Coturnix japonica: one gene and its partners. The protein of the gene in region 4 purifies or fractionates together with the protein of the main gene of each other region. This does not show direct contact. Links are inferred from orthologs where the notes say so. Each region holds a gene or a part of one and is shown on either strand. Other genes may lie near its edges. The genes, in order: COPS8, WDTC1, HDAC2, CUL4B, PHIP, DDB2 and EZH2.

What was found.
Region 1: the proteins of CUL4B (region 4) and COPS8 purify together in Homo sapiens (affinity purification with mass spectrometry; 7 studies listed by BioGRID and IntAct, counting the BioPlex papers as one, with this or other methods). This does not show direct contact. The link is inferred for Coturnix japonica from reciprocal best matches to the Homo sapiens genes CUL4B and COPS8.
Region 2: the proteins of CUL4B (region 4) and WDTC1 purify together in Homo sapiens (affinity purification with mass spectrometry; 4 studies listed by BioGRID and IntAct, counting the BioPlex papers as one, with this or other methods). This does not show direct contact. The link is inferred for Coturnix japonica from reciprocal best matches to the Homo sapiens genes CUL4B and WDTC1.
Region 3: the proteins of CUL4B (region 4) and HDAC2 purify together in Homo sapiens (affinity purification with western blotting; 3 studies listed by BioGRID, with this or other methods). This does not show direct contact. The link is inferred for Coturnix japonica from reciprocal best matches to the Homo sapiens genes CUL4B and HDAC2.
Region 5: the proteins of CUL4B (region 4) and PHIP purify together in Homo sapiens (affinity purification with western blotting; 8 studies listed by BioGRID and IntAct, with this or other methods). This does not show direct contact. The link is inferred for Coturnix japonica from reciprocal best matches to the Homo sapiens genes CUL4B and PHIP.
Region 6: the proteins of CUL4B (region 4) and DDB2 purify together in Homo sapiens (affinity purification with mass spectrometry; 11 studies listed by BioGRID and IntAct, counting the BioPlex papers as one, with this or other methods). This does not show direct contact. The link is inferred for Coturnix japonica from reciprocal best matches to the Homo sapiens genes CUL4B and DDB2.
Region 7: the proteins of CUL4B (region 4) and EZH2 purify together in Homo sapiens (affinity purification with mass spectrometry; 4 studies listed by BioGRID and IntAct, with this or other methods). This does not show direct contact. The link is inferred for Coturnix japonica from reciprocal best matches to the Homo sapiens genes CUL4B and EZH2.

Annotation. Positions count from the first base shown.
Region 1 is NC_029522.1:4,153,717-4,157,921, reverse strand, and holds the start of COPS8 (COP9 signalosome complex subunit 8), read right to left. Parts: upstream 2,801-4,205; 5' UTR 2,741-2,800; coding exon 2,663-2,740; intron 2,473-2,662; coding exon 2,402-2,472; intron 2,102-2,401; exon of another isoform or gene 2,030-2,101; intron 1,691-2,029; coding exon 1,642-1,690; intron 615-1,641; coding exon 482-614; intron 1-481. UniProt on the Homo sapiens protein: Component of the COP9 signalosome complex (CSN), a complex involved in various cellular and developmental processes.
Region 2 is NC_029538.1:1,715,706-1,719,205, reverse strand, and holds part of WDTC1 (WD and tetratricopeptide repeats protein 1), read right to left. Parts: intron 3,328-3,500; coding exon 3,233-3,327; intron 2,183-3,232; coding exon 2,067-2,182; intron 1,647-2,066; coding exon 1,571-1,646; intron 321-1,570; coding exon 224-320; intron 1-223. UniProt on the Homo sapiens protein: May function as a substrate receptor for CUL4-DDB1 E3 ubiquitin-protein ligase complex.
Region 3 is NC_029518.1:58,978,486-58,981,985, reverse strand, and holds part of HDAC2 (histone deacetylase 2), read right to left. Parts: intron 1,027-3,500; coding exon 885-1,026; intron 1-884. UniProt on the Homo sapiens protein: Histone deacetylase that catalyzes the deacetylation of lysine residues on the N-terminal part of the core histones (H2A, H2B, H3 and H4).
Region 4 is NC_029519.1:15,299,821-15,303,320, reverse strand, and holds part of CUL4B (cullin-4B), read right to left. Parts: intron 2,490-3,500; coding exon 2,386-2,489; intron 1,007-2,385; coding exon 937-1,006; intron 528-936; coding exon 454-527; intron 1-453.
Region 5 is NC_029518.1:72,502,559-72,506,804, reverse strand, and holds the start of PHIP (PH-interacting protein), read right to left. Parts: upstream 2,801-4,246; 5' UTR 2,783-2,800; coding exon 2,737-2,782; intron 2,650-2,736; coding exon 2,591-2,649; intron 2,405-2,590; coding exon 2,375-2,404; intron 2,272-2,374; coding exon 2,212-2,271; intron 1-2,211. Other genes in the region: translation initiation factor IF-2-like, read left to right, coding at 2,801-3,571.
Region 6 is NC_029520.1:20,669,466-20,672,965, forward strand, and holds part of DDB2 (DNA damage-binding protein 2), read right to left. Parts: intron 1,504-3,500; coding exon 1,337-1,503; intron 231-1,336; coding exon 131-230; intron 1-130.
Region 7 is NC_029517.1:75,450,826-75,455,099, forward strand, and holds the start of EZH2 (histone-lysine N-methyltransferase EZH2), read right to left. Parts: upstream 2,801-4,274; 5' UTR 2,751-2,800; coding exon 2,692-2,750; intron 2,216-2,691; exon of another isoform or gene 2,004-2,215; intron 1-2,003. UniProt on the Homo sapiens protein: Polycomb group (PcG) protein. Catalytic subunit of the PRC2/EED-EZH2 complex, which methylates 'Lys-9' (H3K9me) and 'Lys-27' (H3K27me) of histone H3, leading to transcriptional repression of the affected target gene.

The DNA of each region.
Region 1 (4,205 bases), on a different chromosome or scaffold from region 4:
GCTTATGAAACGCCAAACCAAACCGCCAGCATTCTTGGTTAAATGAGTTTGAGCAAGTTGTGTATCTACTAGTCCATTGTGCTACCACAGAATAAAACAAATGGTATTTGAAATTCCAAGAAGAATGTAAACTCTTGGAAAGGGCTGACAATAGCAGGACTAGGGGAAATGGTTTTAAGTTAAAAGAGGGAAGATTTAGGTTGGATGTTAGGGGGAAGTTCTTTAGTAGGAGAGTGGTTAGGCCCTGGAACAGGCTGCCCAGGGAGGTTGTGGATGCCCCGTCCTTGGAGGTGTTCAAGACCAGGTTGGACGGGGCCCTGGGCAACCTGATCTAGTAAAGGTGTATGTTTGGTGGCCCTGCCAGGCAGGGGGGTTGGAACTACATGATCCTTGAGGTCCCTTCCAACCCGGGTCATTCTGTGATTCTGTGATCCACAGATAACTTCAGGTTACATGCTACCTGCAGGAATTCAGTTTGTACCTCTCAGTGCTTCCATGATTGGTTGAACAGTCTCAGACCACTGATGTGCACTGATCGTCGTATAGATTCCTGGGAAGTCTCTTTGCCAGATTCTTTGTCCTACTGACCAAACTGCACCAAGCTCAGCATTTGCCTGTCATGACAAAAACAGTTAATTTAGAGTTGTCTGTCCTCTACAAAGACCATTCCATACAAACTCATTCCTACTGCCTTCCTTTCCCTGCTGCAAGGAGATATACATAATGATGAAGAGAGGAGCACTGGGAATTCTTGTTTTAATAACTACCATTGCTGTTATCACTCCTGACCCATCCTTCTGCCAAAGATTATCACTCACATGAGCAAAGTCTGCTCACAGCAGTTGTATCAATTCAGGCTGGCAAAGCAGCTAAAGCCAAAGAGGATAGTTTGTACTCAGTCTGCTGACTGGAGCTGCCAAAGGACAAGCACAGCTTATTCCCTCCTCAAAGAGATGCCTCCTTCTTCAACATAGCCTTTACAGAGTGCAGGTGCTGTTTGCATAGTGAAAGCAATTTAGCTTGAAAGTCTTGAACATGGATCACGCTTAAAATGGTATCATGCTCACTGTTTTCCCACTACTGGTTTTAAGGGCTACTGTGTTGCATATTGCTCAACAGGTTGAGAATGAACACCATTCCACCAGAGTAACCAAACACCAGCCTGGGTAATAGACTAATATCTTTGATTTAAGTAGCTAAAGCCTCAAAATGCGTCTTGGATCCAAAGGCGGTGCAAAACAAAGCACCTTCAGAAAGTGAAATCTGAGGGTACAACTAACATCAAGTTATAACTCACTGCATAAAGTATTCTGCATCCTCACATGGAGGGCAACTGCAGCCCAGAATCAGATACTTAGAGCAGAGTCACTGCTTTCCTCCAGCTGACTACTCTTTAACTTGAGGCTTTATAATAAAACCTCTAGATTTAGAGAACTACGTCATGAGATTAATTGAGAAGGAAAAGAAGGAATAGATAGATTTGCAACTTGAAGATCTTTGGAAGGCCAGCATGCTGGTAATGTGTTCACAGCACAGAACCAAGCCCAAAGCTACTTAAATAGAAACCTCAAGAGAGGAAATAAGTCATTGTTTTCAAGCTTACATGGTTTAGTATCAAGTGGAATTTCATGGAGTACTTACAGATTTGATAGCAGGAGGGATTCTTTTCCAAAGGTACCGTGCGTTGTTCCTAAAGAAAGTTTAAAAGACTTGTCAGTGCCTTTCTTGAGCACACCCCCCACCAACCTTCATGTATTAATAAATTCACACACATACTAATGCACTGATGTATTATAAAACAAAAATAGAAACTTATAGAGCAAGAGCTAAAAATGAAGCACTGATAGTTAATTTGTTAATGGTACAAGTTCTGTTAATGGCACAATTCTACAGTATCATATCAAAATTAACTTGAATGAACCTACTACACAACCTCAACACGGGATGGAATTTGCCCTTGGAGAATCATAAGATGGCTTAGATTGCAAAGGGACCTTTCAGGTTCATCTAGTTCCAACCTGGAAAAGAAGGGCTCGTCCGGGATTTGAACCCGGGACCTCTCGCACCCTAAGCGAGAATCATACCCCTAGACCAACGAGCCGAGTGTCTTCATATCCCACAGCGCCACTGACTCTGCCTGGATGAATAAACACTATTTCAATAAAATTTTAAGTGGAAAGAATCCAAATCTTACTTTTAAACGTAGCCTGATGGATTGTTAAAGGACTACAGTTCTTTAACATGGAAGAGCCAACACAGGGGAACTCTTGGCAGCATTTACTTACACGCACCTTGTTAGTCACACGACTAGTTAGTAACCTAATAACTGCAGATCAATCTGCATCAGGCTAATAGTAACAGCTCCAGGACCTGAGGTTAAAGATTAACAAGAGCCACTTACATGTCGTTATGCAGCAGGTACAGAGCTAGGAGCTGGCCATAAACAAGGGGTGTAGCGATTCCTCCAGGGGCCTAAAGGACAAGCACAAATCCCTTTGTTAAGCATTATAAAGCAGCTCGGTGTGACGGCCATTACCACAGCGCTGTGAGGAACCCACACCGCAGCGCTCTCACTCTCCCGCAGCCCCGAGGCCCTTTGGGCCGGCACAAGCGGCCAGCTCCAACCCCAGCCCCTCCACAACCCCACAGCGGCCCCCAGCACCTCCAGCTCCTGAGTCTCGCACTGCTCCAGCAGCTTCCTGAAGCCGAACCCGCCCTCCGCCATCACCGCCACCGGCATCGTCCCGCCGACACAACTGCCCCCCTCAGGCGGCGGCCGCGCCTGCCGTCATTTCCGTCTCAGCCATGACGCACCTCCGCTCTCTGTAGCTCTCTAATGCTCTGGAGGACTTCGGGGAGGGAAGGGGAGGGCTGGGGGGTTGGCTTCTATCTCTTATTAACGTGGGTCTGGTTGCAAATGGGCTGGGTTCCACTATTATGCGTTGCTTATGGGATGATGTATAAAAGGGATTACACGTGGATTGGATACTGTGGTACAGCCCGTATATCTCTGTGTAGGATGTTATAGTCATACATATATCTCCATATCTACGCACATATATTTCTAGGAGATACATACATATATATATGTATATGCATATACATATAATATACATATATATGTAGAATATATAATATATATGTATATACATGTGATATATATATGTGTGTATAATATATAACATATATACATATATGTGTATATACATATATGCAAGAGATAGGGTGCATACATCCATTTAAAAACGGCAAAAATGGGATAGCAAAAATGGGGTATCTCTGTGTATGCACATCCTCTAAGCGTATCCTAGGTGTATATCTATTGATATATAGATATATTCGGGCAAAAATGGAGTGGTGAGAGCTATCCACAAGAGGGCACCAGCTGCAAGGGAAAGGCATAAAACACGGGGAGGTAGGAGGGTGGGTTTGTTGTTCTGCTCCAGTTTGCTCTAGTTCATCTCCTGGTCGCCTCCACGTGTCCCGCTGTCCCCAGCATGACAGAATCTTGTTCTGGTTTGAGACAGCCAGGCACCCTTATATATATATATATAATAATAATTATATATATATATAATATATATATATATTATTTTTTACAGTCTTTCATTAAGCTTTTGGGACGAGGGAGAAGCTGCTGCTTTCCAGTGCTGTTAGCTGAGCTTCCCAAACCACCAGAACCACAGATTCCATGCAAGCAATATAGCTAGAAGTACCCCTTTCCTCTCCCTTTCTTGCCCCCAACCTCCCCCCACCCCTCTTTCTCTCTGTTTGCTTTTCACCCTCCTCTTTACCACCTCTCCCATATCTCACAGCCATGCTGGGAGAGATGAGAGCTTCCACCCAGTGAAGAACAGCCTCTGGAAGTGAAATATTCCATGGAATTCCAGCCACTCCTCACACTCCTTGCCCTCTGGAGAGCACATCATACATCCCTATATCTCATCTTCATCTCAGCTCCAGCAGGATTCATCTATAAATCCCAGCTCCTACAGGCTGTCCCCTCCCATGTCAACTGATGGCCTTGTGGGCGCCATCTTGTATCTCCAGTGACTGAATGGGTCAGTTCAGTGGTCATTCACAGGGTTCACAGGGTCATCTGCTGTTTTGGGGAGCTTCTCTTTGATTTAAGCACTAAAAATGTGGCCCCTGGCAAATCTGGACAGATTAAATTAATGGGAGATCTCTTTGGCTTGAAAGGATTG
Region 2 (3,500 bases), on a different chromosome or scaffold from region 4:
AGACCATGCTTCTCCTACGATGCTACAGCCTGATTTGATTCCTGTTCTTTGCCCAAACACCAGGAGCAAATACAGCCCCTAAGACAGAGACCGCCTGACAATCACGCTAACAAAGCAAGTGGGTTTGCACTTCACACCTTGTTTAGGAGCACCTAACCCTGCAAAAAGGAAAAGGATGCGACCAAAGCCTCACGCTTTCATTTAGGTAGATCTATTGCCTTACCTCACGTGTGCTCTTCCCTCTGACAGGCGGAAGCCATTGCTGTGGAGATGGATGCCATTCGACACTCCATTGGTAGAGGTTTTCCCATTCTGCACTTCTAAAGGTTAGGAAAGAAAAGATACAAACATGCCACTCATCAACATGGATTATACAGATTAATCCCTGAAACTCTGGGGTTTAATTTTACAGCACAGCTGAACCAATGCCACAGCACCATTCAGAGCACAACCAAACAGGCTTCACAATTCCACACATCCCTGTCTTCCAGCTGCTTGGATTTGATTTGTCCTCTTATATCTACCACCAAATCTCTACCACTTCAGAGGCTGGGAAACTGAGGACACCATCCAACTGCTCAGCAGAACAGCTCAGAGCTCTCAGTATGCAGAGACGTGCATGCACATGAAGTACACGTGCTGCCTTCTCATAGTCCTTGCCTGAACTTTCTGTACCCAAAAGGGTGGAGCATTTGTTGAAACCATACCACTACAAACCTGTTCAAACTTTTTCCTGCCATGTAAAGTATGACCTCGCCAGATACCACAGCACAGATCACCCGCAGGCATTCAGGACAGAAGAACAGCAAGCAGGACATCTATTTGCTACCAGGATGTGAGTGGTAGATTAAGGCCCAAGGCGAGCTGAGTACACAGACTGAACCCTGAGAGCAGAGCTGGGCAGGGAACACTCCCTGATAAGAGAGAGTCGGCCTCTGCCCCAGGGACAGAGCACTAGATGTTCACTGCGTAGTGCCTGCAGGGTCTGTGTACCAACAGGCCCTGTAAGAAACAGGGCAGGGAATAAAAAGGCTCTTGGATTTACTTATTTGTCAAGTAAATGGCTTTTTGAACCAACTAGCTTACCAGCAGGAGGGAGATTAATGCCAGGCCACATTCTTAGACCAGGAAAGAGATTGTTCTGTCTCCTTCCTAATGGGTGCTTAAAGGGATAACAGCTGCATTCTACATTTTATATAAAATCAAATAAAAACACTGCACCATTTTTTATGTGTCTGCATAAAAAGTTTTTCCCCCTTAGTTAAAGGCAAGGCACTAAGACTTCAATCACTCTACAAAGTCTGCCTTACTCTTTAGGTACAGCTTTAAGAGTTCTCAGTGCACACACACCAACAATTCTCAGCAGCTTTCTCCCCTCCAGACACACGTTTCCACAGAGTTTTGTCACCATGTGTAAGAGTTTTAGAGCTCAGAGTATGAGCTGCAATGCAGATACAGCCCACCAACAGCCATGCCCTACTTCCTTTCCTTCCTGCCTGCCCAAATGAGGGCTGCACAGTACACGGTTGCACTCTGCCTTCCACTTAATTCATGACAGCATCACACTTACCCCCTGAAGTATGGCATTTCTTTGGGAGGAGGAAAGTGTATGGCCGCTGTTTGTATGTGAGATCAAACAAATAGACCTAAGAAAAGAAGAAAGCAGTTGACAACAAAGTCAGTGATACACGGATGCTCAAGGGACAGAAATAAAACAAAGCTAAATGGTTTCACATTGGTGTTAGTAACATTGCCTATCTTCCATCCTGTTTATAGGCGTGTGCCCATAAAATAATGGCAGTGCCAGTGTCTTGCTGCATTCCAGCACTGCATTTATAAAGGACACCACTGAGAAACAGGAGCTTTGTCTTCTTCACAAGGTTCAAACCAACCCATTCACAAAGTTCAAACAAGAAGATATTTTAACTATTTCATTAACACAGTGATCACAAACAAATTAAACATGTATGGGCGGGTAAGCAGCAGCCCCAGAGCTTGGGTCAATGGTGAGCCAGCAAACACAACTGCACTTGAAGCTTCCTGCCAAACTCTTCCCTACTTCTTACCTGCTCCCCTCCCATGTTGACTAAGAGCTCGGTGCCATCAGGACTGAAGGTGACATACGTAGCTACAAGAACCCTCAGCCGGTTGTTGTAGTCTGGAAGCTTCACTGGAAGGTGTCCTGCAAAGGGAAGAGGTCCACAGGATTAGAATAACTCAGAACTGTTGCCTTAGTCCTACACCAGCCCTGTGCTTTTACAAGAAGTTGTTAGGAGAGCAAGAGCATAAAGCACACACAGCAAGTGATCTTCCATTTCCTATCACTGCCTGCTGAACTGGCAACCCAAACACTCAGATGTACGAAGCTGCCTTTTCATGTGCTGCATGTGCTATTTCTGCAAGGCTATTTCCATGAAATAGGGAAGACCAGATTTCAGCTAGCTTGCTAACTGAAGTCTGCAGAACCCAGCACATCCTGGTTTTATGGATTCATTAAGGATTTAGCTTCTGCGATTTGTGGCCAGCCACGAACAAACAGCTCCATTTCCGACTGTCCAATCAGGTTTCCTTAATAAAGCCCTTAGCACAATCAGACCAAGGCTCCTAAATATTCAGCTCACACAAGGGTTCTTTTGCTTCAGACAGCAGATGTGTTGCATGACCAATTCAGGGGACCTACGAAATCCTCTAGTGGGACTCATCAGAAGCAAAGCTGTCAGCACTGGTCTGTTGGACGTGTTGGTCTAAGATATTAATAAAAAAAACCAACAACCTACAGACATTTTGGGGAAAAATCATATACAATGAGCACTGGAGAAGAATGCCTTCACACTGCCCAGACAACGCATTCCTGACTCCTCAGCTGCAGAATGAAGACAAACCACTTCTGTGCCAGGAAGGCTTTAAACAGCACCCTCGCTGGAACCAGTTCCAGAAGGATGTCTAGACTCCTCAGGTTATCCAGTCCTCGACTTTGCAATAAAACTGACAAAAAGACACTGAAGACATTTATGCTAGACAAAGAGGAAGGCCAGCTCACCAACACACATCGCTGCCAAGTTGGGGAAAGCAGGCTGGTAGCATAAGCAAGAATTCACAGCACAGAAGCAAAATAATCTGCAATTCTGTACAACATCCCTCGATTAGAGAAGCGCTCTTTCAAGCATTGGTTCCTTGTGTGATGAGTAGAAGTCAGGCGTTAATCTAAAGCCCCATCAGTCTCCCCCAGTACCTGCCACGTAGTACTGTGCTGCGCCATCCGGGAGAGGCTTCTGCCGGTCGCAGAACGTGTGCACTCCAGCTGAAGGACACTGCTTCATGCTTTTTCTAGCCAGAAAGAAGACCAGTGTTACAATCACGGCATTCAAGCTGGAAGCCTGAGCCCTGCTGACACTTTCTGTTCATACATAAGCAGAAGCCCTCACAATCAGACCTGCCTCACACCACCCCACGTACTTGCTTGGATGAAAAAGACTCTGGGTGACAGAAAAGAGTGAGTA
Region 3 (3,500 bases), on a different chromosome or scaffold from region 4:
GTTTTTATTACTTTACCAATATAATAAGTGCATGTACAAACTAATGTAACAAAGCTGTTAACAAGGAATTGATTTATCCTTGGAGTGCTGTCACAGAGAAGCTGAAAGCAAGAGTATCAAGTGAAGAATATATTAATCTTCATATGTGAAATGATATTTCAATTTGCAAAGTGGAACAACTTCCTGTCCTGATGAGACAGAGTCTAATAGAAGGAATGGCTTAACTTACTTTAAAAAATAAAAATCTTAAGAGCCAGGCAAATTATTTTCCATTCTCAGCTGTGACTGAGATCCACCAGCAACTTAGATAATAATGCTTCACAGTCTGTTGTTCCCTTCTTCAAGTTAAATGTACTGTTAGTAAATCACCTGTGGAGCATGCTGATGTTTTACAGCAGTGGGAAGCATTAGAATTCAAAATGTACCTTATTAACGTAAGAAATAACAAGAAAAAAAACAAAAACAACTGTATTACTAAGCAAATCTAACACAGTAAAGTTGCATGAAAAATACTGTGACTACTAAAACTATTGTATACATTTATTTTAAGATCTGAATTAAGATTTGAAACCCTGTGATGTACAAAGACCTACTTTTCTCTATATCTGCAGAACTGAAAGGTACTGACTGTAATTACAAGTGCAGCACACTGCTCAGACAATATATCCAGAAGTCAAAGTGTTGGCTTAACTTATCTAGAGGGAAGCATAATTGCTTCCAGTATTTCTTCCTAAGGTTCCTCAACACAACTATTAATCCAGACAAACATGGTAACTTTACAGAAAATACATGTTATTATGGAGTATAATTGTGAAAGCAGTACAATCCACACGGAAGTGCATAAGAAGGAATTTATCACAATGAAATGTCATGCTCAATCTTACCCTAAGATCCCCCGTGCCTGGAAAATATTCACCATACTTATGGAAGGACACAGTCATGACACGGTCTGTGGTATAGAAAGCTTCCTCCACACCATCTCCGTGATGGATATCAATATCAATATACAACACTCTTTGGTGATACCTAGAAAGAAAATTACACATGTGAAATCACAATCTTCTGTTATGTCCATAAGATATCAATACCTACCAAAGAAAAATAGAAATAAATCACAGATTATGATAAAGTTTATAATTTTGAAGTTACCATAAATCTCAGAATTATCAGTACAGTTTGGATGATGGTAAAAATAAGCTCATCTTAAAGAGATTTTTATCACGCAACGCATTCAATATTTAACTGAGTTGTCCTAGTCAGGAGTAGTTTTACCTTTTAATCCTGTTCATACCAATTTCTGTTGTCCAGATCCTTTGAATTTACCCCTTTCATGGTACACTTTTGTCTAGTTTCTCAATGATTGCCAAAACATTCTGTAATGAAACAACTTGAAGTGTATGCCTTTCAAGAATTTTTGAAGAACCAGTGCCAGGAGCAGGTATAATCCATATTCCATAAATATTAAAATATCATTTTTTGCAGACTTATTTTCCATCAAATCTCCTTTTTCACCTCTGCAAAGACTAAAAGATATAAGCATGTTCTTGTTTCCAACTGTACTTACCATTAACATAAAACCACAGTATGGCTTAACAGTTCTTTGAATAGTGCAAGTTTCTGATCATTTTATTTGAGAGGAATAAAGAAAGCTGCTTCATGGCAAGAGCACTAAAAACTACAGTAAACGACCCTTAAATCCTGTGCTGTTCAGTAAAGAATAAAGTCTATCACCATCAGAAGACACTTTCACCAAATTTTTCAGTGCTATAAACTACAGAGCAGCCACAGTTTCCTGTGTGCTAAGATCTTTCTCTCTTAACAAGATACCAAATAGAACAGCTTCTTGCAGTGATATAACCCATATCTGGTTTGAAGTTTACTTCCTTCACATACAAGATTTAAAACCAGTATTCAAAACCAGACCACAGAAAAACCATATTGCTTTTATTAGATGGTAGAGACAATCACAATAGTTTTGGCTGGAAGAAATCACCTTGTTACAACTTCTATTGGAAGGGACATATTCCAATAAATCAGGCTGTCTAAAGCCACATCCAACTCTGCCTTGAACACTTATAGGGATGGGGCATTCACAGCCTCTCTCTGGGCAACCTCTTCCAGCACCTCATCACCCAGACAGTAAATAACTTCTTCCTAATAACTCCTTGTCCTATTGCTATACTCCCTGATGAAGAATTTCCCTCCAGCCCGCTTTTAGGTACTGGAAGGCCACCACAAGGCCTCCCCCTGAGGCTACTCTTCTCTAGAATGCAGAACCTCAACTCCCTCAGCTTCTCCTTATATCCTCAATATATGCATATTAAAATGAATGCTTTAATATGAAATACCTGTGCCTCCAGCAACTTCTTCCATTTTTAAAATTACTTCCTAGTTACAGCTATTTCCCTCTACTGCCTGCCACCAGCATATTCAGCTGCTCCACCGCCAAGCAGTCAAATGCCAATGTTTTTTGTAAAAAATAAGCCTTATGCGATTAGAAGAGATAAAGTCCCATTAAATACTGTAACTAATATTAACGACTTGAGGTTTTATTGACGCACTGTTGCTTGAAGGTAGTTTTGTGATCAATTCTGCATTACTCCCCTCTTCATTTATTACTCTACAACCAAAGCAGCACAGCTGTTATTTCATTGTTTTCTTAACAGCCACATTAACTTATGTAACAACACAAGAAATTTCAGTGTATGATTTTCCTTAGAATTCCTGTTTATTAGCAATGTCCTGAAAGATGGAAAATAAAAGGGCATAACTGAGAGATCAAATAGGTCTATGACTGAGAACAAAACACCTGAGGCTTCAGTGACCACTAGTCAGGCCAAAGCTCTCGACCACTATTCTGTCTCCATGAGTAGCAACAGAAGACAACTTTTACAGGAGAAAGCAAGCCTATCCATTTTCCAAGACCTGTTACCCAACATCTATAATTACAACATACGATATTTTTCAAGGGTGAATCACCTCTTGGTTCTTTCATAGAATCATAGAATCACAAGGTTGGAAAGGACCTGCAAGATCATCTAGTCCAACTGTCCTCCCTTTACCATACCTACAGAAAACTACTAAACCATATATATCTCCTAGCTCCCTATCCAGACGTCTCTTGAACATTGCCAGGGATGGTGATTCCACCACCTCCCTGGGCAGGCCATTCCAGTGCCTGACCACTCTCTGAGAAAAAAAGTTCCTTCTTATGTTCAGTCTAAACCTCATCTGATACAACTTGTGGCCATTTCCTCGGGTCCTGTTTGTTGGCTGGCAGAAGAGGCCAAGCCCCTCCTCATCACAGCTTCCCTTCAGGAAGTTGTAAAGTGCAATGAGATCTCTTTAGCTTCCATTTACAGATCTCCTGCCCAAGAACATGTCTAATTTTCAATCTAATGTCACCCACAGCTTCATTCAAGCTCCTGTAATAGTGATATCTAGAAGTTCACTACCCTTGTGCTTAAAAAGTACTTTAAGAACGTGTTTCAAAGCTATCT
Region 4 (3,500 bases):
GGCAAAGTAATTCGCATAGTTTAGCTCCTAATCAAGAGCCAAACACAGTATGGTAATGGCATCGAAGGGCATTTGCTCAATTACCAGAATAAGAGAGGAAGAATAATTTGTTCTTATTTTAGGTAACTTTTTGCCTTCCAAAACATTCAAAGAATACTAAACACGTAAGAAGCAATAACCAGACAAGCCAAACCCTAGCACTTCAGTTGCTGAACATACCTTTTCCTTTTTATTGTGCAAACTGGATGCTGGTATCTACTTAGCTTAGACTTTCTATTATTTTCTATTATTTTCTAGTTATTCTAAAAGAATCTGCAATTCACGGTAAGGATATTAAAAATGCAAGAAGGAGGTACATATTCACCATCTAATTTACAGGTCAGTGGAAAGTACTTTGCCAGACAAGTGATAATTTAAATAACCCCCTCATTATGTTATTCTTTTTGACCTTACCAAATAGATGGCAGCATCGAATTCTGAAGTACGTAAGTTCGGTCCAAGAACAAAAAAATACTTCTAATCATAATCTGGGATGAGAAGAAATTAAAAGAGTCACAATTATTTCACTCTTGAAACTGAAGAGCAAAACAAATTATGCTCAATGACAACAACAAAGAATTCCCCAAGTGAAGTTTCAAGCACGTTGCCAATCCCAGAGGGACATTCAATGTGACATTGTGCATCCTCCCCCGGAAAAGAAAAATAGCTTCTTTCATAATAGGCACCTGCTCCAATGTCACACCACATAAAGAAATACACCACCATATTTTCAAGTCTCTATTTCTAATATACTAGATACTATGTATTTCACAAAGAAGCCTTATCAAAATATAAGGCAATGTCTCAGAAGCACGTCTCCTTGGTAAAGGAACAGAATTAAGTAAAGCATCAGCTGGACTAGTAAACTGCGTTTCTTCACAAAGAAAAAAAACTTACCATTTGTCTGCAGTGATCTTGCCAACATTTGTCTATTTTCTTTAGAAAAAGAACACTATCCAATGAATCCATGAAGAAATCATTAAGAAAATTATGATTATCAGATTGCATTAGCATTGAATTTAATTAAAAAAACAAACAAAAAAAAAACCACTTAACAACACAACTCATCTAGTACCAAGTAGAACCACCTAATTTCTTTCAAGTCGTTAATTCCCAATGCAGGCCATAGTACAGACATACTATTTTCAGTAATGATAAACCCCAACAACTCTAACTTTGAATGTTTTGTCCAGTGTCACATCTTGGTGAGGACATATGTAGAGAACACTGAAAACCCATACACTTGAGACCCCAGTAATGCACAACATACACAAGTTGCTCCAAAAGTAACGCCTCCTATTTATTTCCACAGAAACAACCAGAAGGGGCACAGTAACACTAGCCGATAGAGCACAATAGAGCAAAGTCACAGCCACAAAACACTGTTTTTCAACAGTCACCACCACCACTAGCTCTGCATTTGCACCAGCCATGAACAGAAGCCTGCATGCCACTCTCATAACTATCCGCACCAGCCCTCACTGTGCTCACATCTACTATCTGATATCCATCCATGATCACCAAGTGTCAATGAATGTCAATGTGTGCATTCTTACTGCGTGAAAGAATTAAGAATTAAGTTCCAGCCCTTTGCTCCTTACACAGTCCCATGTCAGGTGCCATTCTGCCAGAGTATCCCTCTGCTGTTATCTGTCACATGGCCACACAACATAATGGGACACTGGTGGGAAGGTTCGGCCTCTATTGCCATTCCATCAACATCATAAAATAGGAGGCATTACCTTTAGAGCAGCCTTCCTATATAAGACCCCACTACTACAATACAGGTACAGTAACTTCTGTTCACATTAACAGGTAACATCAGGAGATAAAATTTGTCCTCAAAATTCAGCTTGCAGCATAATTCAGGTAGCAATCAAAACCCACTTAACAGGATCTCACTCTGATGCAACTCCAGACTTCTCCAGATGAAGCATAATTTGATCCCCAGAACCATTACCATCGTACCTCCCCAGACCAGAAGGACTTTTCAAACAAGACAGGAACTAGTTGCTCCAACTTTCCTATTTACCTGAACGAGGCAATTTCAGCATGTGATACAATGAACGGTCTTTCAAGTCTTACTCTGAAGTCTAATCTGAACTTCTATAAAATGTCAAAATGTTTCTTAAGAACTAATGAAACTTTCTCAACAAGTTTGCAGATGGTTACAAAGGAACCAGAATTGGTCTTCACGAGGTCGTACAAAAGCACCTTTAGAACCAACTATGCAAAAACCAGGAATTCAGCTCACCATAGTTCAGTGTCATGAACTACTTAGAGAAATCCATCACTACAAACTGGCAGGTAAAAACATTTTGGCTTGTCAACAGCTAAAAAGGATATTCTCTGAACTGGTGAATTTGTGCTTTAATGTGGTCTTCACAGATTTGTCTCAATTGTTTGTACAAGTTTGCTGAAATCTTGTAGGAGCAGAGATTTTCAACAGCCTGAAATAAAGAGAAAGCAATTATAAGAAGTCTGTTTATGCTCTCACATGTGGTTTTACAAGGAAAAAAAAAGACATGGGATTCTTCTGCTTCTCACTCAGAGTCCATCATCTTCATGCCAAACACTAGAGATACAAGACATTGCAACTGTACTGAGAGACAAAGGAGAGCTGTGCCCTGAGCAGATTAAAACATGAGGTCTTATTAGAGCACGCCTATTCCATCACATTGAAGCCCCCTCAAATACTTGCTAACAGCCACCATTACAAGCACAGCAATAATCAAAGCAGTTAAACTGGTAATCACTCCTGGGGTACACAGCACTTCTTGATGTAGGCAGCACAAGTGCAGTCAGTAAATATGGGCTCTGTGACACAGCAAAGCTGGAACAAAATAAAAACCAGCCAACACTGCCAACAGGAAAATCAAACTTGCATAAGCTCGACAGAAAGAAACAGGTAGAGCAAGAGTAAGCGTGACAATTAAAGCTGAGCCAGCATCTTCTAAGCACCAATGTACAGAAATATGAGCCAGGTATGTGACATCTGAGTTCGGATTATTAGAAAAGACAGAAATTGTCAAAATACACAGATCTTAGTATTTGTAAACAGCAATAAATTTAACTCTTAACATGGAAGGAATCCCAAACAAACACAACAATACAATAAGAACACATTCCAGATTACATTTCAGAGTAGGTTGTGAAGGACAATCAACTCTATCGTGCTGTACCACCCATAGGGGTAGGCTCAACATTAATTCCCAAGATCTGCTGCTGTTTAATGGCTACTTTGATTTCAGAAGAAAACAATGATTGAAAACACCAAATTTAAAGAGACTGATAAAGTTCCATCGAGTGCAGTAAGCAGACTACTACTTCTCTCACTTATTTTGGAGGAGACAACAAAGAGCAAGAAAGATGGATGTTCCTGATTTGCTAGCTGCCCGCATAGCCCTGCCAGCCTCACTTCTAAGCAGCACTCTGACCCCTGCAGCTATTTCACCGTACTT
Region 5 (4,246 bases), on a different chromosome or scaffold from region 4:
GGGCTCGAATCCCGGGGGTTGGACTCGATGATCTCTAAGGTCCCTTCCAACCCACACCAGACTGATACTGTAATTAGAAATGAACAAGTTTCTGTCGAATGTAACAAGTGAACAACACTTCTTTGTATCAAATGTAACCCACACCCTGCAGATACACCCCTGCAAATGAACTTCTGCACCGGTTTTCAGGAGCCTGAAACGTCAAGTGCTACAAAGTTCACACAACTTTGACAGGGAAAGCTAAAGCCAACATAAGGAAGAGAGGATCCAACACAAAGTAACCAACTTCTTTTCCTCCTCTCTCTCAATTCCCAGGCAGGACGAGGCAGAATAGGAAAACTTCCTGATCAACGCTTAATACTAGAAGAAAGTCTTAAGAATAAAGGAGGAGGAAAAGAGAAAGGATCCAATCACTACCATATTCTCAAACACGTGTACTCATGCTCAAGGCCAAACTGTAAGATGCACATGTTACGCTCTTACACACTTCCACTGGCTAAATGAGGTATTTACCTACATTCCAGCAAACAAAAGATACTTGGAAAGAAGAGTCTGAATGAGCTCATTTTTCATTAAGACTTCTTAGCTCAACCTTTCCATTTTCTTCCTTGCTTTCTCTGTCCACGTTTTTCTTACACACTGATGACTCAGAAGAACCCCAAACCCATTCGACACCAAAGCTGCACCTCTGGTCTTTGAAACACAAAACACATTAAGAGAAAGGTTCACGTCAAGTTTTACCAAGTCATGGATGATCACTGTTTGAAATAGATAACATGGTCTTAAAAAGAATGAATTAAAACATATTCATTAATAGTTCAATTGGCCAAGTATCAGCACTTTAAAATTCCTGGTAGAGTTTCTTTCTTAGCTTTAATATCAAGAAAATGAGAAAGTGTCACCATCCAGGAACATGTTTCCCACAGGCCAATCGCTCTCAGTGTTTTGACACCCACGTGTGTTACAATGCACTGGCCAAACCTACTTCATGGTTTAGAAAAAGAAAACCACAATGCAATAAATAAAGTGTTCCAAGCGCAGTCAGCACCCACGATTCATGTTGTGCCATTCACCTACATGCGTCTAGAACAACACACATGTGAGCAGGGCTTAATGGCTGGGATGGGGGCTGCTCTTTCTCCTGAGGGGTGAGCTCTAAGTTCACAGTATCATAGTCTTGTATGGGTTGGAAGGGACCTTAGAGATCATCGAGTCCAGCCCCCGGGATTCGAGCCTCTGTGTAGCAGAGAGGCACTTCTACCACTTGCGCCACAGCTGCCTGAGCTCAGAACCAACGCATGCAGCCTGGAGGGAAGCACTACTGGGACAGGCATGGCTCAGCCTTCCAGGGACACACCATTAGCAGGTAGAGGCTGAATTACAGCACAGTACTGAAAACAGAACTGGCAACAAGTTGCTAAGACACCTAAAGTTCAGCTTCCCAACTAGCACCAGAAAACAGAGGTGGATGGATGGATGAATTGAGGCCCACCGCTGCTAGTGAGAAATACACCACGGCAAGCAGCACCTTGGCTAACCTGCTGTGAGAGCACAAGGTAAGAACAAAAAGAGGATTTAGAAAACAATAATAATAAGGAACCCAAGAGCAAAACACCCTGCATCTGCACTCAGAGCCTGGCAGCTCAGCTCGGCCCGCTCTGCACTTCGGATCCACGGCCCCCTGGCACGGATGGGCCCCTGGCAATGGATGTGGCCGTGCGGATGGCCGCGGTTCGGAGGCATTGTGTGCGCGGGGCGCTGCCGCCTGCTGGCGGTACAGCTGGCGCTACACCCGGCGCCGCTACCGACCGGCGGCCCCGGCCGCGCGCCCCCCGCTCGGCCCCGCCCCTCGGCGCGCCCCCGTGACGCGCTGCGTGTCCGTACGGCGCCTCCGCGCCTCGCGCAGTGCGGCCGCGAGCTGCGCCCCTCCAGAGCGGCGAGAGGAGACGGGGGCTCGGCGAGATCCCGACACATAAATACGGCAATAAAGAAAATGAAAGAGGGGGGGGAAAAAAAAAATAAAGAAAGAAACAAGTTCGGAATATTTTTTTTTTCAAGTTTTTTTTTTTTTTTTTTCTCCTTTTCCTCCCCTCCTTCTTTTTTTGCGGGAAATTCAATTTTTATCGGGTAGGCAGCTCAGGGAAGGGGAGAAAAAGCAAAGGGAGAAGCGGCGAAGCCCCGCACGCAGAGCGCGGCCCGGCGGTGCCTTACCAGGTTCTGGTAGCTGCGCGGGTGCTCCTTGCCCGTCCAGTCCGTGCGCTTGGGCAGCAGCTGCGGGGGGAGCGGACAGTGAGCGGGGCCGGCCCGGGGGCGGGAGGCAGAGGGAAGGGGGGGGGGGGGGGGGGGCGCCGCGGGCGGGGCGGGCCGCGCTTACCTCTTTCTCCGCCACTTCTCGGATCAGGACCTGCGGCAGCAACAAAAGGGGACGGGGGGGGGCAGGGAAGGGGCGAAACGGAGAATAAAATTAGGAAGGAGGAAAGAGGGGGCGGTGGGCGCGCGCCGCGAGGCTCCCCCCCCCCCCCACGCTCCGCCGCCTCCTCCTCCTCCTTTCCCGGCCAGGCCCGGCGCCATCCGCCCGCGCAGTCCGTACCTGAGCCGCTTGCTGGCAGGGCCCGTCCTCCAGAAAGCGGGCGATGAGGAAGTAGAGCTCTGCGGGGAGAGGGCAGGGTGAGGGTTGCGGCTCCCGGCCCCGCCGCCCGCCCGCCCTTTCTTCCCCCCCTCCCGCCCGGCACTCACCCGCTCGCAGCTCCGCCGTGTGCCTGCCGCCGCCGTCCCCGGACATGGCGAGGGGCGAAGCGGGATGTCGCGGGGGGGGCCGCGCCCGTCACCGCCGGCTCCGCGGGCAGCGCCTGTGCTCCGGCATTCGCCCCGCGGGCAGCGCGGCGGCGGGAGGAGGAAACAACAACTCGCGGCCGCCCGCGACGCCGCCGCCACCGCCAGCAGCCGCCAGCGCGATCCTTCCGCACGGAGAAAGAGTCCCTTCCTCCTCCGCTCCGCTCCGCGCCCCCCGCCTCAGCCCCGCAGCGCGGCGCCCCTCCCCCCAAGTCCCCGGGCGGGGAGGGAGGACGGGCGGCCCGCGGCTCCCGCCCCGCCGACACCGAGGGGAACAGCGTTGACCGGCGGCCCGGGCGGCTCGCGAGGGGAGAAGATGTCGGAGCGGCGGAGGCGGGGCGGGCGGGAAGGCGGCGGGCGGGATGAGGGGAGGCCGCTTTCTCTTCTCTGCGCCGAGCGGGCGGGCGGCCGGAGCGCGGAGGGATACGGAGCGAGCTGCGATGGGAGGCGGGGCCGAGCGGGCAGCGGGAGCCGGGAAGTGGCCGAGCGGATGGCGCAGCGCAGCGCAGCGCAGAGCCGAGCCCAGCGGGCACAGCGCCCCCGGGCAGCGCCGCTTCGGAGGGGGCGGCACCGCGACCCTCCTGCTGCCTCCCCCTGCTGCTCCCCGCCGGCTCCCCGCGAGGCCTCGGGGCGTGCAAGTGACACGGCGCTGCGGTTCCTTGTGCTGCTTGCAGGACAAGAAAGAAAAAAATATATATTGTTTTTCCGCTTTTTTAAACATTTTGCTTTTTTTTTTTAATTGTTTTTATTTTAATCGTTCTTCTCCTCGCAGAAAAAAAGCCGTCAGAGCGATCGTGGCGCCTTGAATCGCCGCTCGGCCTCGGACGCGCCGTGAGGTAAATAACTGCCGGCCGCTCGGGGCTGCGGGCACGGGTGGGCCGGACCGGGGTAAAAGCGGTACAGGTAAAGCGAGACCCGTGGTCACCCTCCATTTATAAAAGGTAAATAAATAGAAATGGACGACGATCGCCATCCCGGCCCGGTAAGTCGCGGTGTCACGGAGCGCTGCCATCCGTTTCGCGTTGTGCCGGCCCGGCTCCGCGCTGTATCCGGAGCTGGGCACCTTCCGTGCGGCTCAAAATGTCTCCCCTTGTGTACCAGCTCCCGTTCTGTCTTTGGGCTCCGTTTGAAATAAACGCTTTGAGCTGAATCGAAATGGGCAAAATTGGATCATCCGGTGTCAAATAAAGGCTGATGAAATGAAGTGACTCGGGTCGTTCTTAGCGCTGCACGACGTGTACGGTATCGTCTCTCGGAGGTGGCTCTCACAACAAAGGGCTGTGCGAGTGCTGCCATTAACATTTTAATTTCCCCTGGTGTTTACATATAGGAAAGCTCACTAATGTACGGCATCAACCTACCCCACGAGGAAGAGGGGATTTGTATCGGTTAAGGAGTCTGAAAGCAGATGAAA
Region 6 (3,500 bases), on a different chromosome or scaffold from region 4:
ACAATGGCAGACTCATCTTCTCAACTGCAAGGCATCTGTTTTCTTTTCCAGGCCCCTGTAGTGCAGGGAAGTACACAAGCCATGAAGATTCCCTCCCCCAAAAAAACCCACTGCGTGGAGTCACACTAACCTCTTCACCAGAAGTGCTGAGCAGGACCACGTTGCCCAAATTATCACCTGTCACCACAGCACGGCAGCTTGCAGAAACATCAACACTGCAGTACCAGCAGCTGGAGGGAAAGAGACAAGGTCAGTGCTACCTCCCACAGAGAGGTGAAGGCAGCAGAGCTCTAGTTCACACCTTATCCCTGTCTCTGACAAAGGAGAATGCAACAGATTGCATCTGTCATCTTCTCTCTGATCTGATACTATGGCCCTGAACAGCAGGAAAGGGGGTGGCTTATCAGCAATGCTAGCTTTTGGTGACTGAATATGAAATAATTCCTGAGGCATCTATGAAGTGCTCAATAGATGGAGTGTGGCACGCTGGGACAGTGGAATATAATAGAGGTTGAAAAGTCACTCATAAACTTCACATGGACAGACCCAAGTGACACTGGCAAATATATAGAAATGGATTTTTAAAATAGTTTTCCACAAAACAGGGAAGAGATGGGAAAGAAAAGACAAGAGCCCAGGATTAGAAAATTGCATTTCTAAGCTATCTGAACTTTATGCTCCTAGAAACAATCATGAATAGAGGCTTATCTCATAAAGACATATTTCTTAACCACACCTCTGCTGGGGTGCTAGGCCCAGCAAGAGAAAAGCTGTGTTCCTTTGGGAACTTGTTGGGAAAGCTTTGCTTGCACAGCTAAATTATCCTTGAATTGAAGATGGAAGAGATTAGCATGGAAAGCCTGAACTCCTCACAGGGAAAGTAGGGTAAACCCACCAAGATGAAATTCAGATTCTGCAGGAATGGTTTTTTGGAATTCCTATCCTGCCTGAGTTGCTGCACACAAAAAAACACAAACCACTGATCACAATGAAGAGAAGAAAGTTACTCTGTTCTTCTCGCCTCATATACTATACAGTGAAGCACTGTCAGTATCTACAAGATGGAAGATGGTGTTGCCAGAAAGCAACACCAGAAGGTGGATGCAGTGTACTCAGCTACTTTGAAAGCTAAATGCCCTGTGGCTGCCTTGCTTGTCACTCACCCTGTAGTCTTGGAGAGGGACCCAGGAGCCTACCTGAGAGCTCCCTCACATGACCAATTCGTATCAAGAATCTCCTAAAACTTGCAAAGAAGCATACATTTGCATGACCAGAGCCACAGCATTAACACAGGATTACAGAGCAGAGATTTAACCTGACTCTGCTCCCTTCTCACCAAACATTATGGTTCTCATGGCCACAGTCCGGGGCACGGGAGATCACCTGCACCAGTTTGCCCTCAAGGTCCTGCAGGCTTAGGGTGCCATCCCCTGATGCCACATAAAGCTTCGCTGACTCATAAGGACTGAACTTCATGCCTCCAAGAGAATCTCCTGGCCCTTTCTGGAATACATACAAAGCCAAAAGGTATCAAGGTTAGAATGGAAAAAATACAACCAATCTTCTGGAACACACTGCAGGATTCTCTCAGTACAACGCACAGCTTTCAGCTTTCTGGCAGGGGACTCTAACAAGAACTCTCTGATCTGTTTCCAACCTAAGCACATACATTCTGTATCTGTAGGTTCAACCCCATTGCTTTGGGCTGCAAACCTCATTAGCAGTACTGCTTCCTCTCCATTGGGTGCAGGACAAACGTGCAGTGAACCACCTACTGCTAACTACAAGGCACAAGAACCTCGTACTAGAGCTGTTTTCTCCCAGCTTGTCTTCTGAGGAAACATGGAAACCCTACAGAAATAAAGACAGAAAACAAGGATGCTGACTGGGAGTCCCCAAACTTGAGTTCCAGAGTGTCACTCTGCTGCTCATAGAGTAGCTACTTAATAAAGATGCACTGTAAATACTATCTATAAAGAGGCTGATGAAAACAAAAAAGCCCCAGTGCTTATCTGTCTTCGCAGCAGTGGAAGAAAGATGATGTGATGTAATTAGAGTGACGGGCATTAGGATGATTAGGATGGTGTGAAGGAATTAGTGTGATGGGCATTTCATCGGGATACAAGTTCCAGACCCACCCTGGGACAGGATCAAGGTCTATCCCACCTTATTCACCTATCTAGTCACCTCAGCATCACCACGGATCACCTTCTGCCTTAAGAAAAGACTGGAACAGACAGTTTGGAAGCCAACCACAAAAGCTGCTACCAAAACAGTTAGGTGGAGAAATGTAAAGAGGAGGCTAACCCAATTTCTCCTCACTCACCTTTCAATACTGAACAGAATTAACTAATTGAAGAGCTCAGGCTTCCTCATGAGTCCACAGAATAGACTGAGCAGGTGATTCTAAGCACAGGCAGATAGAATTGCCTCTAGAGATCCATCTCCTCATTTCACCAACTCTTAATTTTGGCATTTTACATAAGCAACAACAGTTAGGTGGAATGAATCAGGAGGATTCTTATGACATGCACCACTTGAAGTCAGTGGTGTTTGTGGAGAAGTACTGGGGGAACAAGAGATTATTCAGTAAAAAATACATCTGGCATTGAGCTGCATTGCTACCAGGTCAGGAGGCTGGAAGGTCCCAGGGCAGAGCTATGGAACTTAGCTGAAGAAACCCACAGGCACACCCCACACTCCCTTGTGTAACAAGTAGTACGCAAACAAACATCTACAGCCCTCCCCTTAACGAAGAAAAGCTCTCTCGTACCCACCACCCCATTTCAGAGAAAAATAAAAAGAGAAAGTGAGTCTCCCTGAATACAGAGAGCATCTCTGAAGTTTAGAGGACAAAAGACATGTATATGGACAAAGCCCCGCTCCCATATACAAGAGTCAAGCATCTCCCTTTCTCTCTCTTTCTTTACAGTGCTCCTGACAGCAGGACACAGAAGCCCAAAACATTGCTGCATTTCTTACTCCCAGTTCTCGGTGAAGGTGAAGACCCGTGAAATATTGCCATTAAAATCCTGCAGGGTGGTACTGCCGGCAAGTGATGAAGTGTACAGCTGACTAGGGTTAAAAGGGTTAAACTTCATTCCTGTGATGGCCCCTCCAGCTCCCATCTACAAGGAAGGGGATGAACAAGAGAAAAATCCACTGAGTGATGGGGAAGGTGGGAAATGCATTCTCTAAATCTGCAATCACTGCTATGTACTTAACAGCAACAGTGAAACACATTACAGCCATCCAGGAGGCAAAGACAACCATGCCTTCCCACACAGCAACTGTCTGGGCAGCAGCCCTTCCAGACAATAAAACTGTAACTCCTCCGGTCCCCAAGTACTGTATTCCTTGGCTGGCTGGCACCACAGTATTAAAAAGAGAAAGATGACTCTGGAATTCTCGGAGGATACATCTCCTCCCAGCATATACCTGTTTAATTTACAAAGGGACAAAAGTTAAGAGACTCTTCAAGTCCCTGTAGGAATGACAAT
Region 7 (4,274 bases), on a different chromosome or scaffold from region 4:
CCTACTTGCTAAGCCAAAGTTTCCTTGTAGATAAGCTGAAGTACATTTACATCTCACCTACAAATGCCATATCATAGAACAAATATAAACCCATTAGAAGGCATATTTCCAACAAAGTCACCCACGATATTTCAACTCATTGAAAATTCTAGGTAGAAGAAAATACCATGTGGAAAGCAAAAAATTTTGAATTTCTAGTCTCCAGCCTAAGCTTATAGACTATTGCTTTATCTGATTTTAAACTGAGCAAAGACTTTTAATGTTCTTCTGCCAATAAGTATTTTCAGTGTATGTCACTTTCAGAGTAATATTTTAGAATGTCTAAAAAAGTATTTTATTGCATAAAACTTTTGAATAATACCTCCTAAAGTACTAGAACCGTGTTTTCTGAAAGACACTGTAAGCCTTATCTATATTATTATGATCTAATATAAAGCAAGGATAGCTACCATACACTGTGGACAAGTAATACTCACCCTTCTGAAGATGCGTTATTGTTATCACAATTAAACATTCCCTGAACTCTCAATTTGATACAGACACTGGGGACAAACAAAGAATGACCTTTTAATTTTTACAAGTCACAAAGAACCGGAATGTGCCAAGCCCTAAAAATAATAATAATAAATTAAAAAATAATGGAAAAAAAGGGGGGTGGGGTAGGGGGAAAGAGGAAAAAGAGAAAAAGAGAGAAAGGACTTGTATATGAGGAAATCTCCGTTTAGAAGTTTATCGTGTACTAAAAATACCAGTAAAGTCTCGCTGAAGTACTGAACGGTTGGATCTGCAATTGCTCGACTTGCACAAAGACAAACCTATCCTGCAACAAATAAACAGACCAAACAAAAACAAAACCAAAAAACCAAACAGAGAAAAAAACCAAGGCCCTAGTTCCAATGAAATATACTGTTTCATAACTTTGAAAAAGTATCTTGAGCCAGGTACAGGTTCATTATACCATTTTTGCTACATTATGCTGAGACTGCTTTTCTTTCTGCCCATTCCTAATAATTTTTGGATGTTCGTACTTAACACCAGATACACATGCGTTGCGCTACAATACATTGATTTCATCACCTTTGTCTGATCACACACACGCCTGTTGCTCCAGCACAACTCCGTCCCTTTCACACCTCCCCAAACATGCCGATTTCAGAGATCGCCCCACACACCCGCGCTTTGCGACATTAGGTCTCCAACTCAGCAGTTCCAGCTCCCTCCGAACTCTGGAGGGCCGGTTAGCCGAGCAGCGCCCTTCCCGACGAGGAAGTTGGCCGGACAGATTGACTCCCGCGCCGTCCCCGCTCTCCCGCACTCGGTGCCCGTGAAACTCGCCGGGGGCTGGAGAGCCCCGTCGCAGACTGGCCGGCGGGACGGCAACGTGCGAGGGCGAGAGTGGGAACGCTCCGCTTCCGGGACACCGCGGGCACATGGGGCTGCCGCGGACCTACTCGCACCCCAGGGCGGGGGCTACCGCCGCGTAACAACTTCTGCACCGTGCTTCTCTCTCGGAGGGGGCTGAGGCGGACAGAACGGACTTGTCTTCGCGTTTCGGACTCACCGAGACCTCACCTTGCGTACGTTTAACACACGGATCCCCCCGCCGACCCCTCAGCGAAACCGTGCCAGAGGCAGCCGCCACCACAGGAGGCCGGCAGGAACGGGGAGGAGAGGAAACAGCCGGCTCCTACCCGCTCTTTCTCCCGCACGGCGCCAGTCGCCCCCCCCGCCCAAGGCTCCGCTCCGCCGAGCGCGGCGCGGCCAGGATGGACAGAGCCAACTCAGACAAAAGGCACCGTCGGCTCCGCGCCGCTCCCTCCGCTGTCAACGGCTGCAGAGCGGGCGCGAATCTCGCTGCCGCCCCCCACCCCATCCCGTTCCTTCAAGCGCGACGCGGCGCGCTGCTCGGGACCGAGGCGGTCGCGCCCTCCCTGTCTGCCTCCCCACCCCCCATAACAAAGGGAGTCGGTTATAAATAACTGCTCCCGGCCCGCAGCCCGTACGGTGGTTGTGGTGCTGCTGCCGCTGCCGTCCAGCTCACCCGTCCCCTCGCTCCAATCTCGTGCCACCGCCACCACAGCCGCTTCGCTCCCCGACTCTTCTTCCCTCCTGCCTCCGGCTGCCGGATTCACCCTCCCGGACCGAGCGCCAAATACAGTGGCCCAATCGGTAACACGTTCATTGGCGAGAGCCGAGCGCCGCCCCGATTGGACGGACGCGGACGGAGCGCCCCGAGCCAATCAGGGGCGGAGAGGGGCGGGGAGAGGGGCGGGGTCCGTGCCCCACGTGCTGGCGGGAAGGAGGGGTGGGGGAGCTCTTTGTTCTCGCGCTGCCGCCCGGGCTGGCGGTTTTGTGCCCTCTTTGCCCGTCCGTGTAGCTGAGCGGGCAGCGGGTCTGGAGTTTGAGGTGCTCCGGCCGCCGCCTCACGGGGACTGGGGAGGGGAGGGAGGCGAGGGGTCCGACGGGAGCGGGGAGGGGCCTCGCGTCTCAGTGCTGCTGAGTTTGAATCAGTTCGAAAGTGGGAGCTGTAACGGTTTTAACAGTCGTGCTGCTGCTTCCGCGCGCTGCAGAGAGGGGAGGGGACGGGACGGGACGGGACGGGACAGGACGGAGAACTGGGAGAGGCGCGTCTGCGACCAGGCGGGAAGATCCAGGCGGGGACTGGGGGTGTTGTTGGCAGGAGCTGCTTACCTCAGCACGGCCCGCTCCCTGCCCGTCGCTTCCGCGGCGGGCTCTCTCCTTCCCGGCATTGCGCCGTGCCGAGCGTTGGCTGGCTGAGTCACTAACCAGAGTACGTGATGCATCCTCCTGCCGTGTCATCTGACCTTTGCGCACCCAAACCTAGCACGTATCTGTCCTTTTGTTTCACGCTGTTGCTCACGAATTTTGGTGCCTTGCTGTTCTGTAACCAGCATGGATTCTTAACTGTCAAAATCCCATTGTGTCCCATCTTGGCAGTGATGGTAAATCACAGCAACAGCAAGGTGTCCATTCTGCATAAGGCTGGGATCCTGTTGCTAGTGATACACTGTCTCTAGCCTAAGGTTGCTACCATTTTCCCTCGTTTTTATTCTACGACTCAGTCACGTTGACAAGGAGGTACTTTAAACCTCAAGGATTCATTCCCCCTTAGCCTTCTTTTGTCTCACTGTTTGGCCACTGCAGCCCTTCTTTGTTGACTGGAAAAACAAAATTGCCAAGATAAGATCATGGTGGGAAACTTCCATGTATGCTTGTCACCATCTCTCCTTCCTAAGCCTCCTGTGTTCAGCACTACTTCTGAGGTAGAATGGATTGTGAGCCTTGTACCCTTACTGTCTGTTACCAGTGTTTCTCACCTTCCCTTGCAAATCACTTCTGATACATTCAACTACCTTGTCTCATCTTTGTGTGAAGCCCAAAAATTAGCACTGTCCACCATAATGAGGTTCTGAATGATAAAAATCCTATGAGAGAAGATCATTGACACAGCTTCATGCCCAAATCTTTCAGCTGCATTATAGGCCAAACAAGGATCAGAGTTCTTTTAATGTGGAACAGAAATTATTTCCTCTTATGTTTGCATGTCACGAAACGATATATTGTCATACTCTTTCTTTGATTCTACTAGAGTAGATGACCTTTTCCAAGATTACGTTAAAACTATCAACTTTGCAAAATGTCAGTCATTTCTTGAAATTCAGCTATTTAAATCTATTCTGCTCCAAGATGGCTGGCACCACCAAAATGGCTACCCAGTCTCTTCACAGCTTGGAACTTGTAGTTTTTTTATTGTTAGAATTGCACTTCATGAGATCTTATCTTAGTCTATATATATATATATATATATATATACAACTCCTGTGCTAAATAAGCATAGCGTAACTTTAAGCAAGCACTATAGTCAGTCACAAGGTGAAAAAAAGATGTGTGGAGACAACACTGAACTCAATTGCAGTACACGCTTCAGTTTTTGTCTTGCACAGAAAGTTATTCACCTGCTGTACGTGAAGCTAATGCTTACTAGAAAATAAAACACATTTTGAATGGAACTACTCTTTCTGTTTTGCACTCTGTGAAAACAATCTTTCCATGCTGCATTTCAGTTCTAGAAGTGATGAATCCTCAGTGAGGATCTCCACGAAGTGTCAATTTTCTGATCATATGGGCTATTTAAAATAACCTGGAGAATTCTGGCAGCTTGTTTCTTTTTTTCTGCACGTGGATGCTTAATGTTGTAATGAGCTGCTTATAGACTTTCTGTTTTCATGGAGTAAACCACCCAAACATTTTTC